2 linked regions of the Arabidopsis thaliana genome follow. The protein of the gene in region 2 interacts with the protein of the main gene of each other region in a pairwise test. Each region holds a gene or a part of one and is shown on either strand. Other genes may lie near its edges.

Region 1 (3,936 bases), on a different chromosome or scaffold from region 2:
TGAATGGGAAGCCTACGATTGTGAGTCTCCACAGCAACATGAAACCCACTATGTAGCTTCCGACAAACGCAGATGCATTCATCAAAATGTTTGGTAACTGTTTGAATTCAAAATCATCAAAAAAATTGTTTAAGAACAAGAAATATGATAAATAAAAATTGAAAACCTTTTCACTGAGGAAGTCTTGAATGACAAGGCTGTCACTAGAGACACTGGTAATAATATCAGAAGTGCTTGTGACATGAAGATCAAAGTAACCCACATCTTGTCTTAACACTGCTCTTAAGTACCTTTCTCTCATTTTTGCTGCTTGTCTCTCCCCTGTTCTTGTCCAACAATATCCTTCTGTTTTAAATATTAAACCCATCCACAAAATTAAACAAAATTTGTTATATTGAGGTGCACCAAATTAATATTTTAATTTGATAAAAAAAAAATTGAAAGAAACACACTTACCAAGGAAACATATCACCCAAGATGCACAAGCCACATAAAGCATGGCTAGAGCATTCTGTTAGTTACAACGTGAAAAAAAGAAGGAAGATACTATATTAGTACTCTTTCCTATATATTTAAGTAATGTAATTGATATGTGGGGCAATATAGTAATCGTAATCTTACTACACGTTGAGTTATAGTAAGAAGTTTAAGATTATGTAATAAAATATTTGGGTTTTCACATTTCTCTTATTGCTATCCCTATTTAACATACACATATGGACATATATGTAAGACGATAGTTTTTTATTTTTTGAAAAAGTCATAAGCCGATCGTTTTAATTAAGAATCCCACCATGCTTGGTCTACTTGGTCATGTCTAGTTTTGATTTTCCATTTTAAGGTAAATTTCTTGGCTGGAATTTGTACAACTCTCTGTCATCATTACATGAGAAACCACTTGTTATGTCTACAGTCTACTCATTGGAAAAAAAAAAGTCTACTCATTTAAATATTGTAATTTAGTTAATTCTATCATAATTGTTGGATTATTGCTAGTTTATTTGGCTAAAATAATCTAACTACACCCAGTAAGCCAATGTTCAATTGCCTTTTTGACCCGCCCTTCATAATCCAGTCTATCTGCTTCTTCTTTGAATGTTTGGTAGTAACTAATTTATGGGAATGTGAGAAATATTTTTATTTAAATTGGCTATGAACGTATTAAATAGCAAAAATATATGTATTTTAGTCATCATTTTAGAGATTAGCATGGCTCTCACTTTCAGTCTCGAACTCTTGCTTACCAACTTTTTTAGTTATAGAATATAATATCCTATGGAAATTAAACTAAATTCTTTGAATTTAAATTTTAATGAAACAAAACTTTTTGTTTATCCCCTTAACCTACAAAATCAATTTAAATAACATTAAATGAAAAAATAGCATTGCTTAATTTGCTTTACTCTTTACAACTCAAAGAATATAAAATTATATAAAACAATTCATGTAATATTTAATTTTTAAAATACTATAATTTAAATATATATATATATATATTGTATTATTGTATATAATCTTATATACTTAAATTAGTATTATGATCCTACTTAGAGAGAATATAAACCAAAACAAAGAGAAAAGAAGAGAGATAGAGAGAAAGGACCTTGGAAATGGGTTGCATGAAGGTTTCATCGTTGAAAGAGAAACTACCGAAGTCGTTCAATAGCATGGCTGTGATGAAAAAAAGAATAGGAGTGATGAAGCCATCACCGACGGCTCCGATTAACCCTAATCCCATCAACATCCAATCTACACCGTCGGCATGCATGAATATTGATCTCATGCTTCCCCATGTCTTCATCTTCTTCTCTCTTTTTCTTCAAGAACAAAAGATTCTCTCTTTTCATTTATATTTGTGGATTTTTTTCAAGTGTAATGTTATTTTTTCCGTCTTCCTGATTGTTCTATATATAGTAGCCGAGACAGAGCGACTTCACCGAAAGTGATATGATATGATATATATAATATTATTTGTTAACATCTGTTATATACCTGCAGTACCTATTTTAATTCGGTAAAACTTATACAACTCCTCGCGAAGACGCGAACCAGGCTCAGTAACCTAGCTACAAGAAAACAAATAAAATAATATATGCTGAGTACTTCAAGGCTTTAAGCTAATAAATTAGTTTTCAAAATTTAATTTGTGTATGAACTTCAAATACTTTCGTGTATTGCTGTTTCTTTTTCTTTGATAAACAATTAGGTTAATTTCTTCATTAATTCACAATGCTTTTGTAAAGATATTGATTTGATTTTACGACATAACGACGAACGTCAATATCAAAATAGTTTAAATTTCTCATACCATACAATTTTTTTTTTTTTTTAGGAAACATACTTATTTGAGTTTTTATTGCATACTTTCGCAAAGTTAAAGGGACTTCTCATGATTTGGCAAAATGACCGCAATTTTTCTTGTGGACGTCACCAGCGACTACTCGATTTAAAAAGATAGTACAGGAGATTGTTTAGCATGTTATTCTAGACTCAAATTTTATGATCTAATTTTTATAGATGTCTTTCTCGCAACATTACAAAGAGAACACGGCAAATTACGTCGGTTAATATTAAGTGTAACGTCAGTTATATATAAGCTGACTTAAAACTTCTACCGTCAGTTTGGAGACCGTCGTATTATTGTATGACGTTAATATTGTCTCGCTTTAAAGTCAATTACAAAGAAGCTCGTAAAAGTTCTTAAGCATAAGCTAATAAATCAAATAAACAGTTTAGACTCTGATTTATGTAGTGGACATTTATTTTAATGGACCTTCATATATTAAAAATTTTACGTTGGTTTACGAAGTGAAGCTGGTAAATCGACGTCATCCATTTTCTGTAGTGAAATCTTATATGGACAATCACTCTGGGAGTGTTGTTAAAAGTTTAATGTTTGATTGGAAACAATAGTAAATTGCTAATCTCTTTAGCTTATACTTTATGAAAGTGATTGCTAATCTCTTTAGATTATGCTCTTTCTTTTAAAGATTCCATGTTGCCCACCAAAGAAGACAGTAAAAACGACTCGATAGTGAACCAGAAAACCAAGAAATATACAATATGGAAGTGAAATATTATAATCAATGCTTCCTCTCTACCACCATGTTTATAATTCCATGTTTTCCACTGCCAAAGTGTGATTTCTATCAAGAGATTTGTAGTTCAAAGTCTTATAATTAATCAATAGAAAAGTACGTACTCAACAAAATATGCAATACATTCTATAATTTCAATTACAATAATTATTTCTGAAAAAAACGAGAAACAATAAAAGGATTTCAAGTAGTCCGAACTCATCTAGAAAGCTAGAGAAGACGGGTCAATCAACAAGACAATGCATCATCTTGATCAACTCCGCGCAATCAGTCTCAAAATCTAGTCTCTCGATCCCCTCAAAAAACATGGTTTAAAAACTCTAAATAAAGAGAGACAAAACTAGGGTTGGCAATCCTTCCAAGATCCATCCACTTGAAAATTTTCATGTGTTATGGACCTTACCAGTTGAACTATTACATCGGCAAGTTAATTGAGCTTCCTTCCAAGCCTTGAAATCAGATATAGTATGACTTGAAATATCTGATGGCTCACGAAAGTCCATGTGAGATATCACAAATGAACTTCTTTGTCCGCTTACAAAATTTCAAAAACCTGATTTTTTTCCAAAGATAACTAATTAAAAAGCCGATGAGATTAGAGATAAGACCCACGTTTATAGTGAAAGATGACATTTAAATAATGTCTGCTTAACTCTTTCCTCATATCCTCCACATCTTAGGTAATATCACGAAGAAATCATCTATCTCTTAAGTCTCATGTCATGTCAATATGCTATTTTCCTCGTATGCTGAATTTGTCACTACTGAAGTTCTTGCTCGATATAAATGTTATTTCTTTTCCCAAGTGGATGACATGACAAAAGTGACAACGCAACGT
Region 2 (3,936 bases):
AATTTTGATGTTTTGAAGTATTGGAAAGACAATTGCTTCAATGGCACTTGATATTCTCAACATTCCTATTACCACGGTATCATTGGAGTCAACTTTTAGTATTGGCTCTAGAGTATTGATACCATATAGGAACTGCTTACTTCCACAAAATGTTCGGGCGTTGCTCTGTAGACGTAATTGGCTGCGTGGTTTTGCAGAATATGAAGATACATAATTTAAGATTACGTGATTGTTATAAGTTATAACTAAGTGATTGTTACAACTAATTTACATGTTGAATTGTAGGCACTGTTGAAGATAATGACTACACCAGTTATGAAAATGCTAGAACAACAACTAGTAGTTCAGGGGTTGAGAGTTCAAGAACAAGAGACTCAAACGTGTTTTCTAAAGTCTTTTCAAGAAATATATTAGCAATTGTGTTTACACTTCATATATAATTTAATATAGTGTTAATTCTATATTCAAAATTAGTACTCAATATAACCCATGCATCCGGTGGACAACTTTCTTGGTAAGATATATTTGCGAGAACCTACCATTGAGCGAGCGAACTCGTAAAGAGTCATAATTTATTGTTTTACCATGTTATAAAAATCAGATAGTATTAATCAACCTAGGCATGGGCGTTTGGGTATACGGATCGGGTTTTTTGGGTTCTGGTTTTTCAAATTTATAAAAATTTCTTAAATCTTGTAAATCTTTATGCAGACCCATATATATATATATATATATATATATATATATATTGTTCTACCATCCACAAATACACCAATTTTTTTTGTTTTACTTTCACTTTTAAATCATTCAAAAATCAATTTACTAAATGTAATTGGAAATATATCAAATCAATTGTCTAACCCAAAACATTAGCAGATTAGTTACGAAACTTCTACCGATGATTTCGGTAGCAGTTTTTCTTGCTTAACTACTAACTATGAAAGCTTTGTACACATGATACAAAAACATTATGAAAGTGGGTTTTGTAAGCTCATAGTTTGAACAGTACGACATTTTGGGTTGCCTATAAACAAAAAAAGAAAAACTACAAGATATTGAGGTTTAGGCATGTGTTCACATAACCGCACTAAAGAAGAAGCCATTTTCATCGTTATTGTACTGTTAAAATAAGGTCTGCTTGTCTATGACTCGATATTTTGGTACTAATCCATAACGATCAAAGTCAATTCAGAAGCCTATTAATGAGGTAGTTTTAATAAAACAACAACTGGTACCATACATAAGTGGACATAGGCTGGAAAATCTTGCCAATTTGAAAGATCAATAACGGAATTTTTTGTTATTCGATCAACTACGGGAAAATTAATGGAATTCATAATTGTTTTCTACTTCTATTATTGTACAAGTATTTAAGAAACAAACTAAAACCATTGTAATGTTCCTTTTCACCATGCATAAACTAAACCAAGGATTAGGATAAGCACAAAAATGAAAGCTTCTGTAAAAGTGGATACCCCAATACATCTAAACTCAGTGTCGATGGATACTGAAAATATTTTCAACATCAAAAGCAACAAAACTAGAACAAACATATAATAACAGATTCTAAATTATAACCAAACATCCCCGATCGTTTCTATTCTCACACATTTTATAATCCCAAAATTATATGCTTTTGTGAATCCCATTACGCGCCTTCAAAAACTTTTAAATTTTACCATATCGTAAGTCTAATTTATATTAGTCTTAAATAATTGGCATAACTCTTTTTTTTGTCGGATTGGCATAACTCTTTTACAATTTTGGCTTTGGATGAAAACTTTTTTTGTGCTAAAATAATATTATATTATATGAAATAATCCGCTTAGTTGAAATATCAAAAAATATTGAGAGAGTAATCTCTATTTAAAACGTTAACAAAAAAATAAACTTTTAAGATGATTGTGTAACTTACATTCGTAAAAGGGCCCAATAGTTTTGAATCATTCAATTCAAATCCATTTGGGCTAAAGTTCTGATTTTATAAATATAGGACAAATAATAAAACTAACCAAACTATACGGTCAAAAACAAAGATATAGAAAAAGATAAGGGACCTGATCGTAAAATACAAATCTTAAAGAGTTTCCAATTTCAGAAGCCAACTCCGTCTCCTTCTCCGTGTCCTTCTCTCTCTCTCTCTCGAAGTTCATCAATGGCTCTTCATCCACACCTTCAAGACTCCAAGAATTTCAGGTAAACAATCTCTTCTATTGTTATCATGTAATCTTTCTGTGATAGGAAAGCCCTAATTTTTCTTTAAGTTTCCAAGAATCAAAACCCTAATTTCTCGAACTTGCTCTGTTTCCAGAGACTTTTGCGGAATCGACGGCCAGATTTCGCCGGAATTAGGATTTAACCGCTCAGAGAATCTCCATGATCAATCTCAGCATCCTCCATATATTCCTCCATGTAAGTTTTATCCGATTGGAATTAGCCAATTAGGGTTTTGAAATTTGATTGGTGAATCTGTATTGCGAATTTAAAGGTTTTGTTTTTGTGTTTGTTTTACTTTTGAACTATATCAGTTCATGTTGCTGGTTTTGCACCGGGACCGGTGGTTCAAATTGATGGTTCTGATGGTGGTAATGGAGCTGACTTTGAGTGGAACTATGGTCTTGGTCTTGAACCAAGACGTGAGAGGATAAAGGAACAAGATTTCTTGGAAAACAATTCTCAGATATCTTCTATTGATTTTTTGCAAGCTCGGTCTGTATCAACCGGATTGGGTCTGTCTCTTGACAATGCTCGTGTCGCTTCTTCTGATGGCTCTGCGTTGTTGTCGCTTGTTGGAGACGATATTGATCGCGAGTTACAGCGGCAAGATGCAGATATCGATAGGTTTCTCAAGATTCAGGTAAAGAACCTGATCTTTCTTTGATCAACCTAGTATGTTGGTTCTTGAATGTATGAGGAAACTTTGGTTTTCGTTTTCTTGATTTTGTGTATCTTCGATAGGGGGATCAGTTACGGCATGCTATCCTCGACAAGATCAAGAGGGGTCAACAGAAAACGGTGTCACTAATGGAGGAAAAAGTTGTTCAGAAACTCCGTGAGAAAGATGAGGAGCTAGAGAGGATAAACCGAAAGAACAAGGAACTCGAGGTGCGAATGGAACAGCTGACAATGGAAGCTGAGGCATGGCAGCAACGTGCAAAGTACAACGAGAATATGATTGCTGCACTCAACTACAATCTTGACCGAGCTCAAGGTCGGCCAAGAGATAGCATTGAAGGATGTGGAGACAGTGAAGTAGATGACACAGCTTCTTGCTTCAATGGGAGAGACAACAGCAACAATAACACGAAGACGATGATGATGTGCAGGTTTTGTGGAGTGAGAGAAATGTGTATGTTGTTGTTGCCATGTAATCATATGTGTTTGTGTAAGGAGTGTGAGAGGAAGCTTAGCTCTTGTCCTTTGTGTCAGTCTTCTAAGTTTCTAGGTATGGAAGTATACATGTGATTGTGATTTGACTAAACTAATGTCTAATTAGTTAACAAACGAACTTTATTTGTAATTTGTCTTTGCTTTTTTTTTTTTTTTTGTGTTTGTTAATATCATCGGATTGGTAAGTGTTACTCTGATTGACATATTAAGCAGACTAGACCGGACTTGACTTGAACCACACAATAGAAAACAATTTAGAAATCAAGTTAATTCTGTTTAATTTTTTATTTTTCCTTGGAAGTAAGAATATGATATCTTAATCAAAAATAGAAGACGTACAAAACATTCTGATTTATACTATTTTTGACTTTGGTTAATATTTACAATTGAATACGGTTACGGTTACAACAGTTACGGTTAAACAGACTTATGATTATTTTATAACTATAATACATTTAATATTTTAGGTAAAATTTTACGTATTATCCAAGACGCTCTAGCTCATGTCAAGTTATTCTTCTCTGATTCTCGTTGACGAACATACAA

What was found.
Region 1: the proteins of SBP1 (region 2) and ABCB16 interact in a protein complementation assay, tested with the Arabidopsis thaliana proteins (one large-scale study listed by BioGRID).

Annotation. Positions count from the first base shown.
Region 1 is NC_003074.8:10,614,501-10,618,436, forward strand, and holds the start of ABCB16 (P-glycoprotein 16), read right to left. Parts: upstream 1,862-3,936; 5' UTR 1,802-1,861; coding exon 1,604-1,801; intron 512-1,603; coding exon 457-511; intron 346-456; coding exon 167-345; intron 98-166; coding exon 1-97.
Region 2 is NC_003070.9:17,197,216-17,201,151, forward strand, and holds SBP1 (S-ribonuclease binding protein 1), read left to right. Parts: upstream 1-2,098; 5' UTR 2,099-2,155; coding exon 2,156-2,196; intron 2,197-2,311; coding exon 2,312-2,412; intron 2,413-2,528; coding exon 2,529-2,857; intron 2,858-2,958; coding exon 2,959-3,465; 3' UTR 3,466-3,626; downstream 3,627-3,936.